2 linked regions of the Arabidopsis thaliana genome follow. The protein of the gene in region 1 interacts with the protein of each later gene in a pairwise test. Each region holds a gene or a part of one and is shown in the gene's direction. Other genes may lie near its edges.

Region 1 (3,307 bases):
GATTTATTTGAGGCATTGATGATTAGGAAGTTATCAGGGAAGCACGATGATAGTGATGATGAAGTGATGGATGTGGTGCGTAAGTATCCAGTTAACGATGCACATAAGGTTGACGATATTGACTCTGATATTGAGAGTGATGGCCATGGTGATTCGTCTGATTCAGATATTGAGAGTGATGACTTGAGAGATGGTGATTCGTCTGATTCCGATGTAGAGTTTGATGGTTTCAATGATGTTGGCTTGTCTGATGTCAATATTAAGACTGATGCCCTGAAAGCTAATCGCTCGTCTTATTCTTACTCTGAAAGTGATTAACACATGGTAAGTTTTGGATTTCGCACCATACGGTACTCGCAAAGAGAACATTTTCTTCTGTATTTTACAGTCTCTTATTTTTTTGTCACATTTTGCATTTTCTACTTGTATAACTTGATTAAATGGATATACAAATTATTTAGTACTTTAGAGATTTTCTAACACTGTGCTTGTTAGAGACTATTTAATCTTTAAGCGTGTGATTGCTTGCTTAATCATGTGTCTTGGGCTTTGTTTATCCTATTCATTATGTGCTAAGTATGAAAACCTTGGTGGCTGATACCACATGGAGAATATGGATTCTAGAAAAGTGTCTGAGTAAACTTAATATATACTGCAGCTTATCTTCTTTTATTCTTTCATGGCCTGATATATGTTTAACATTGTGATCAATGAACTCTAATTGGTCTTGGTTTTGGGCCACAGACTTATGCACTACATTGAAGATTTTGAAAGGAAGCAACTGCCTAGTGAATGGAAACAGATCAGTTTTTGGTCCATGTTGGCTGTAAGTTCTGCCTTTTGAATATAATTAGAAATTTAAGTCATATTTTGTGCTTAGTACAATAGTAATGAAGTAAAATATATAATTATGAAGGTGTTCTCATTACTTTGTTTAAGTGTCAACAAATTCATATACCTTCACTGGGGGTAGCCGAAAGCTGACATCTATTTTGGTTACACGTGGTTTCATAACTTCTCCAAAATGGTGCCTAGGTGTTTTTATGCTTTGTCCGAGCCTTTTAGAAAAAAGTTAATCTCTTTTAGACATATCGAGATCTCCTGCAACCACAAACTCTCGTTTGAGTAACGTGACTCACTCAAAGACATTTTCTTCTATAAATAGAACGAGAGAAACCCACTTTAAACTCCAAACCAAATATCTTCTTCTTCTTTCTATAACTTAGTGAGACAATGAAGGGTTCTTGCACAAAACCAGTGTTTTTCACTTGTACAATCCTTCTCATTTTAATTGTTGCCCAAGAAAACAGAGTCGCTGCAGTAGATCCATGTAATCCTGCGCAGCTGAGTCCATGCTTGGAGACCATAATGAAAGGGTCTGAGCCATCGGATCTGTGTTGCAGCAAGGTGAAGGAGCAACAGCATTGTATCTGCCAGTACTTGAAGAACCCTAACTTCAAATCTTTCCTTAACTCCCCAAACGCCAAAATAATCGCCACTGATTGTCATTGTCCGTATCCGAAATGCTAGTCCCAGTATTTCGTTCTAGTTTTCGATGTTCTGTTTCTTGCTTTCAAGACCAAAAAAGGTGTTCTGTTCTGTTCGCTCATCATCGATGGTTTTTCTACTTCAAGTTTCTTACTTTTGAGTTTGGCTTTCCATTAATGTGTTTGTCGTCAAGGAATAAATCTTGATCATCACATATTCACATTGATATGTTTTTAAGAAATTTCGGATAATTCGACTAACATAAGCTACTTAAAAGTTAAAAGTTCCAATTTCAAGGATATCACTACAAAATAAGTCTCTAAATTTGGATGCAATTTTGTCAATTTTGGCCGAATTAATCATAACAAGGTCTTGAATCCCTTGATTCCGACAAAAAAGAATCCCTTGATTAAAACTAGTTCAGAGACTTCGATTGTATTAAAACCGGCGGATTTTATTTAACCGACCGATTTGATATGAACCAGTAAATATACTCTGAACCGGCCAAAGGTTTATTTTCTTAAAAAAAACAACCCTAGATTTCTAAATTCTAATTGTTGGCCCATTTTCGCCTCTTCTTCTTCGATCACGAGATCGAGAATCGTTTCTCTCAATTATCTCAAGCTCTAAGATCTCACTTCTTCTCTCTCAAACTCGACGCCGTTCGTTTTCTCCGTCGATTAATCGGTTCGTTTTGTTCCTTAACCTTTTTCCGATCTAATGTATCTCTTGATCCGTCGGCAAGTCTCCGATTTCCACTTTAAGGGTTTCCATTCTCTGTACATCCATGGAGATCCGTACAAGAATAGAGTAGATATTCATATGTAAATTGAATCGTTTCCGAAATTGATATTTTTTTGTTCTGGATGATGTTTGGTGGTTTCAGAGTATTATGAATCAGGAAGCAGCTGAAACAGCGAGAGAGTCACTGGAGCTGGTGTTTCGGATGTCGAACATCTTGGAGACAGGTCTTGATCGACATACTTTGTCTGTTCTTATAGCTCTTTGCGATATTGGTCTTAACCCTGAGGCTCTCGCTACTCTCGTCAAGGAGCTTCGTAGGGATTCTGCTACAACAACAACTACGGTTGATTAAGAAGATGCCTAATCAAATAGTATCATTCATGCTTGTTTTCTAAGTTTCAATTTCATTATGCTATTGATGTGTAAATTAGGGTTGGTAAGGTAATTGAATAGAGAGTTTCAGAGACAAATTGGTAATAAGTATTTGAGTCATCCCCACTCAATCCTTTTGAGAGGCTTTCTTTAAGTAAATCACAAAGTTACCCTCATATTCTTGATTTCTTTTTTTAGTCAATACTTTCATCAAGTACGTACATATACAGCGGAATCAATTTTTCTAAAACGTAAAAACGTAAAAATTTGTTGAACGTGAATGGTAAAAACAACGTTTTCATACAACTGTGAAAACGTGAACAAGTGGTATACCATCCAACTAAAAATATAACTCTAAACTTCACACTTTTATGTACAATCATGATCAGCAGATCTAGAATACATGTTTTACCATCATGTACGTAGTAGTAGTTTAAAGTTTAAACCCTTATTTAGAAAGAGTCCAATCTCGGCCAAGGCACTATGGCGTGTCTTCCAATACTAACGTAGATGAGGATTTAGAAAGGGTTTATATGATTTTGAGACGAAGATCCGGTGAAACATATATTGAATTCCGCTGGAGTCGTTATATACCCTTCGTTTACTATCTCCAAATTGTTTGTAGATCTCTCTTGAACATATCCGTTTTGTTGATATGATTTATCGATTTCGATGTTTTGGTAGTGGCTCGCAGCATATTGTT
Region 2 (5,632 bases), on another chromosome or scaffold:
CATCACTAAGTGGTTTTACTAGTGAATTTTTAGTGTTAAATTTACTACTCAAAGAAAAATTTATTGATATGAGTGGGAAAAAAAAGTCCAAAACAAAAGTATGTATATGATATAGATATAATAAATATGTGTGTTTACTTGGTTTGAACTGCACTTGTATATTGACAATAAATTTATGGTATAAGAATGCAAATTTTTATGTTTTTTACTTTTTTTTATGATAAAAAAGAATGTAAATTATTCTTTTGGAATTAAAAAAGAATTGAGTATATCAATCAGTCTCTTCGCTCGCTATCATTGAAGTTTGATCTTAAAATCTATATATCTTACAGTATTTCGATGCTTGTGGCCTGTGGGTGTTATGTATCGTAATAGTTGTTTTGTTGGCTCAATTGGGAATGGTTGCAGCAAGTATTTTTTTTGGTTGATGCTTCGATGCAAGCTCTTTCATGTTTCTTTTTTTCTTTTCAACATAGTATTTGTGTAATATGCACCTACTAAAATACTCCTATGGATCCGCGACTCTTATTCCCGAAAAAGTTCACTGGATTGATCAACGTGAATTTTTACTCCACTTTTTGTTAAAAGTTAAAACGTAACCATCCACACCAGTGTCTTTTTCTTTAAATGTATATGTCTCCACGTACACACACAAATAGTATAGGTCATGTTCGTGAAACTAATTTCATATATTTGACCAGAATATTTTTATTAGAAATCATATTTTATTGACAACACATAACTAATATAAGTGCTTGAATTTGAAATACTATAGAAATAAACTAAAAGATGAGAAGCGTATAGAGATTTGATTAAGTTCACGAAAAGCGGTGGAAAAAGAGCGGCCTTGGCTTGTGAACTCTAAAAACTCAAATCTTATCATTTATGGTTTGACAAACAAAAAAAAAAGATAGATAGATAGAGAGGTGATCAGCTGATACACGTGTGTTTTCACGTTACTTCTTTTTTCGTATTTTGTGGCTCCTCACCCTTACGTCTAACGCAAAAAGAAATAGAGTATTTATTACAAAAACAAGATATGATTTGGAATATTCAATAATCTTTCTTTTGAGTCAATATTGAACTTAATTTTTGTTCAAAATAAGCTAGGGAGTTGCTCTAGATCCCCCATTTCAAATTTGACCGTAAAATTTGGATTGTTATGTGTTTCTATGTAGAAGATAGAGAAGAACTAGATAACTATATATGTAATGATATTTATATATCAAATGGGATGAAAATTAATATTGACACATTATGTGCATAATACAAAGGGATTGATTGAATGAGCATCTTTTGATTAGCCAATCATGATTTTCTGCAAAAGCATTTGGGGAGACATTGAGAACTTCCGACTGCACGGCTTTATCCTGCTACAATTGGAAGCTTTTTTTACTAAGCATTAAGTATCTCTAACAATTATAAGAGGGCAATAATAACATCCCTTTTTCTTTCTTACAAAGCAATAAAAAAGGACAATAGTAACGAAAATTCATTTTTCCCACGATTGATATCTTTTGGTTGTAGTTTTTAGATTTTCTAAAACATTTTATGTGATGGTTGATATTTCTCTACTTTTAGAAACTAAAAGAGAATGCATAGAAAATTGCGAAAAACAATGATGTCTCGATAATTAATGGGAATATGATAGTAGAATAAAACAGCCACTGCAATCAAACTACTTACTACTAATCCTCAATATTTTAGATTAACTTATGTAGATTTTCATTTATCTTTATTCTTTAGAAAATTGTTTTTTTTTTTTTTGAAACATGTTTACGTATCTTTTTTTAAGTCGTTTAATTTGTTTTTATTGGGTCACGAATGTGTACCATTCACACCCTAATTAGTAATTAGAGAAACAAATGATTACGAATATACATACTTAAGAAATTTAATGCCCCCTTGCTATACCTTGTGTACACATGTATAATGTATCTCTCTCTATAAATATGGGAGCTTGGTGATGCTTACTCATTTATGACTTCTCAATACAAAAAGCTCCCCTCACTTTTTTAAGTTTTGTCTTCTCTAATCCGTCTTCTTCTACTATCTTGCATGTCTTGCGTCTTTTATATACATCTCTCGTAAACCCTAGCAAATCATACAAGGTCAGTCCCTTTTATTTTGTTAACTCCTTACTAAACAAAGCTCTAATATATTTGGTGTTAATCATTTTTTTTAATTGTCAAAATTCAATTTGAAAACTTGTTTTGTACATATAAAATACATGTATATGTATATGGTGAAACATGTAATCTGCCTAGGTTTGGTTTTAACTTGTTCTACGTGTGTTTTTGTTTCATGTATATGTTTTTAAAACTGACTGTGAAGCTCATGGATTGTTGTCATCAGGTCAAGAAGCTTGACCTTCATTAGACTTAAGCAGTTTATAATCAACTACCACGAATAGCAATGGATAAAGATTACTCGGTACGTACGTTTTTTTTTCCAGTATTTCAAGATCCTTAATCTCTTTTCTTATACAAATTGATAGATATCTATGTATAAGATTCAAATCTTCCTGCTTATGATATTAACTTCATTCTCCAATTCTGGTTTTTATTAGGCACCAAACTTCTTAGGTGAATCCTCAGGCGGTAACGATGATAACAGCTCTGGTATGATAGACTATATGTTCAATAGAAACCTTCAACAACAACAAAAGCAATCGATGCCACAACAGCAGCAACATCAACTCTCTCCTTCCGGATTTGGAGCAACACCTTTTGATAAAATGAACTTCTCTGATGTGATGCAGTTTGCGGACTTCGGTTCGAAACTTGCGTTGAACCAGACCAGAAACCAAGACGATCAAGAAACCGGGATTGACCCCGTTTATTTCTTGAAGTTCCCTGTCTTGAACGACAAAATAGAGGACCATAACCAAACCCAACATCTCATGCCTTCTCATCAGACGTCTCAAGAAGGAGGTGAGTGTGGAGGAAACATAGGCAATGTGTTTCTTGAAGAAAAAGAAGATCAAGACGATGACAACGACAACAACTCCGTGCAACTACGTTTTATTGGAGGAGAAGAAGAAGATAGGGAGAACAAGAATGTTACGAAAAAGGAGGTGAAGAGCAAGAGGAAGAGAGCTAGAACGAGCAAGACCAGCGAAGAAGTGGAAAGCCAACGGATGACTCATATCGCGGTCGAAAGAAACCGTAGGAAGCAAATGAATGAGCATCTTCGTGTCCTTAGATCTCTCATGCCTGGCTCCTACGTTCAAAGGGTATGATATTCATAAATTATATCTTAAAGAAAGAATTTTCGTGAATGTTTTTTTATATGTATATGTACAACTAATTATACTGTCTACACCAAATATTAATTGTATAAAATAGGGAGACCAAGCGTCAATCATAGGAGGAGCAATAGAGTTTGTGAGAGAGCTCGAGCAACTCCTACAATGTCTTGAATCACAGAAGCGTCGAAGAATCTTAGGAGAAACCGGTAGGGACATGACAACGACAACGACTTCTTCTTCTTCTCCCATAACTACGGTAGCGAACCAAGCACAACCGCTCATTATTACGGGAAATGTAACCGAGCTAGAGGGCGGAGGAGGGCTTCGGGAGGAGACTGCGGAGAACAAGTCGTGCTTGGCTGACGTGGAGGTGAAGCTGCTAGGGTTTGACGCCATGATCAAGATACTTTCAAGAAGAAGGCCGGGACAGCTGATTAAGACTATAGCTGCTTTGGAGGATCTTCATCTCTCTATTCTTCACACTAACATCACTACCATGGAACAAACCGTCCTCTACTCCTTTAATGTCAAGGCAAGTTTATATGTTAAAAAGTAATTCATCATTCATATTCAGCTTTCATATGCAAAATCTAGACTCATCAAATAATACATGTAATTATCTAATCTGGATTAGCTGTCATAAAACACATTTATAATTTTATTTAGGGTTTTCAATATAATCATAGATTATGGATTTGTATTGTTAAAGTATATGTAATAACTATCAATGGCTAACATGAGGTAGATGTAAAATATGTGCAGATAACAAGTGAAACGAGGTTTACGGCAGAAGACATAGCAAGTTCCATCCAACAGATATTTAGTTTCATTCATGCAAATACCAACATGTAAGGATATATATTTTTCTGCTATTTAAATATTCTTTCGATTAAAGATACTTTTGATAAGTTTCTGTTGGTCCCTTAAAACAAAAGTTTATGTTGGTTCATTGTTATCCATTTCACATGCCTTTTGTGTTTTGTTTGTTTTTACCTTTTAGATGTCATGATTATATCTTTTTGTGTGCAATGTGGTCTATCTAATCATCAAGACATCATTACTATGTGTGTGTGTGACTCTGTGAGTGTGTGAGTATATGAGTCTGGTAAAAAGTCTTAGAGTAAAAGATATTGGTGGTTCGATGTTATACATTTTACTATTTTAGATGTCTAGCTTTTGTCTTTTGTTTGTTCTTTTACCTTTTAGATGTTATGATTATTTGCTTTTAATGTTAGATATATATGGTGTATCTAATCTATCATGGTTATTTTCTTTGTGTGTTACATATGGTGTGTATATATATATATATATATATTGTAACATATTTATCACAATATTTGAAGTGTTAAAGCTTGGAAACAATTTTATTTCAGATCTGGAAGCTCTAACCTGGGAAATATTGTGTTTACTTGAAAATCATCACACGGCGACAACTTTGTACACTGGTGAAGATTACAGTACGTAATAATCTCTACATATTGGGTTTTATTCTCCAAGCATTTGGAAGAGTGTTTAAGTTAAAGGGAGTGCTTACTTTATTTTTTTGGGGCTTTTTTCATGCAATTTAAATTTTAGTGATGATTGTGTCGCTTGTAATGTTAGAACTCGTTGTTGTGATTTCTGCTGCTTTGATTTGTAGGTTTTGAACAAGCGGTTTAGAATGCTAAACCACTTATTTACTTGAAATAACTTTTTTCACAAAATAAAAAAGAAAAGAAAAAAACAATGCATGAAAACTTTTCTTGAGGGGAGGGAGAGGAACTATCATTTTCTTGAGATTTGTCTATGAGAAATGGGCCAATATATATACAACAAGAAAACATGAAGAAAAAAAAGGTTAGAAATAGCCAGTTTTAATCTTCAAAAAATTGACCATTCGGTTAAACAAAGTGACGCTTTTACACTTTTTCAAAAGTGATTTGACTAAAGAAACTAAGTGTCAGAATTCAGAAAAACAAATTCATTTAGGAGACTCAAAATGATTGTCTTTAATCTTTCTCTCGTACGTCAACAAAGACGAAACTCTTGTCTTCATCTTCTTTATATATTCACCATTAGCTCTAATCCAAGTCAGATCCGACACATACACAATAAATTCCAAAAGCACTGCTTGGTTTTCTTCTCACACCAAGTAGGTTCGTACGGGGGTAAGATCTTGACAGAGTCCAAGGCCAGAGAATTCCAATTCCAAATCCGTCCAAGACTTGAAGATCCTTTGTTATATAGCTTATATTAATTCATCGAAGGTAAGCAAAAAAGATTCGTGTTTGTCAATCGTATTATTGTGTTAAATGGTAAGATAATCATTGTAATTACTTTTGAAAATGGAGAGAGTTGATCTAGATTTCTGATTACTTTTTTCTTTTGTCGTGAGTTGATTTA

Evidence for each region. The genes of interacting proteins can lie anywhere in the genome.
Region 2: the proteins of GIP2 (region 1) and FMA interact in a two-hybrid assay, tested with the Arabidopsis thaliana proteins (one large-scale study listed by BioGRID).

Annotation. Positions count from the first base shown.
Region 1 is NC_003070.9:27,742,639-27,745,945, forward strand, and holds GIP2 (mitotic-spindle organizing 1B-like protein (DUF3743)), read left to right. Parts: upstream 1-2,010; 5' UTR 2,011-2,175; exon of another isoform or gene 2,176-2,374; 5' UTR 2,375-2,380; coding exon 2,381-2,584; 3' UTR 2,585-2,791; downstream 2,792-3,307. Other genes in the region: AT1G73770 (coiled-coil protein), read left to right, coding at 1-318; AT1G73780 (Bifunctional inhibitor/lipid-transfer protein/seed storage 2S albumin superfamily protein), read left to right, coding at 1,234-1,530; SARD1 (Calmodulin binding protein-like protein), read right to left, coding at 3,123-3,307. UniProt on the Arabidopsis thaliana protein: Required for gamma-tubulin complex recruitment to the microtubule organizing centers (MTOCs). During mitosis, modulates gamma-tubulin complex localization, spindle stability and chromosomal segregation. Necessary for gametophyte development and embryogenesis.
Region 2 is NC_003074.8:8,714,556-8,720,187, reverse strand, and holds FMA (basic helix-loop-helix (bHLH) DNA-binding superfamily protein), read left to right. Parts: upstream 1-1,976; 5' UTR 1,977-2,111; intron 2,112-2,355; 5' UTR 2,356-2,415; coding exon 2,416-2,433; intron 2,434-2,569; coding exon 2,570-3,235; intron 3,236-3,347; coding exon 3,348-3,782; intron 3,783-4,012; coding exon 4,013-4,098; coding exon of another isoform or gene 4,099-4,102; exon of another isoform or gene 4,103-4,623; coding exon 4,624-4,663; 3' UTR 4,664-5,070; downstream 5,071-5,632. UniProt on the Arabidopsis thaliana protein: Transcription activator. Together with MYB88 and MYB124, ensures that stomata contain just two guard cells (GCs) by enforcing a single symmetric precursor cell division before stomatal maturity. Together with SPCH and MUTE, regulates the stomata formation.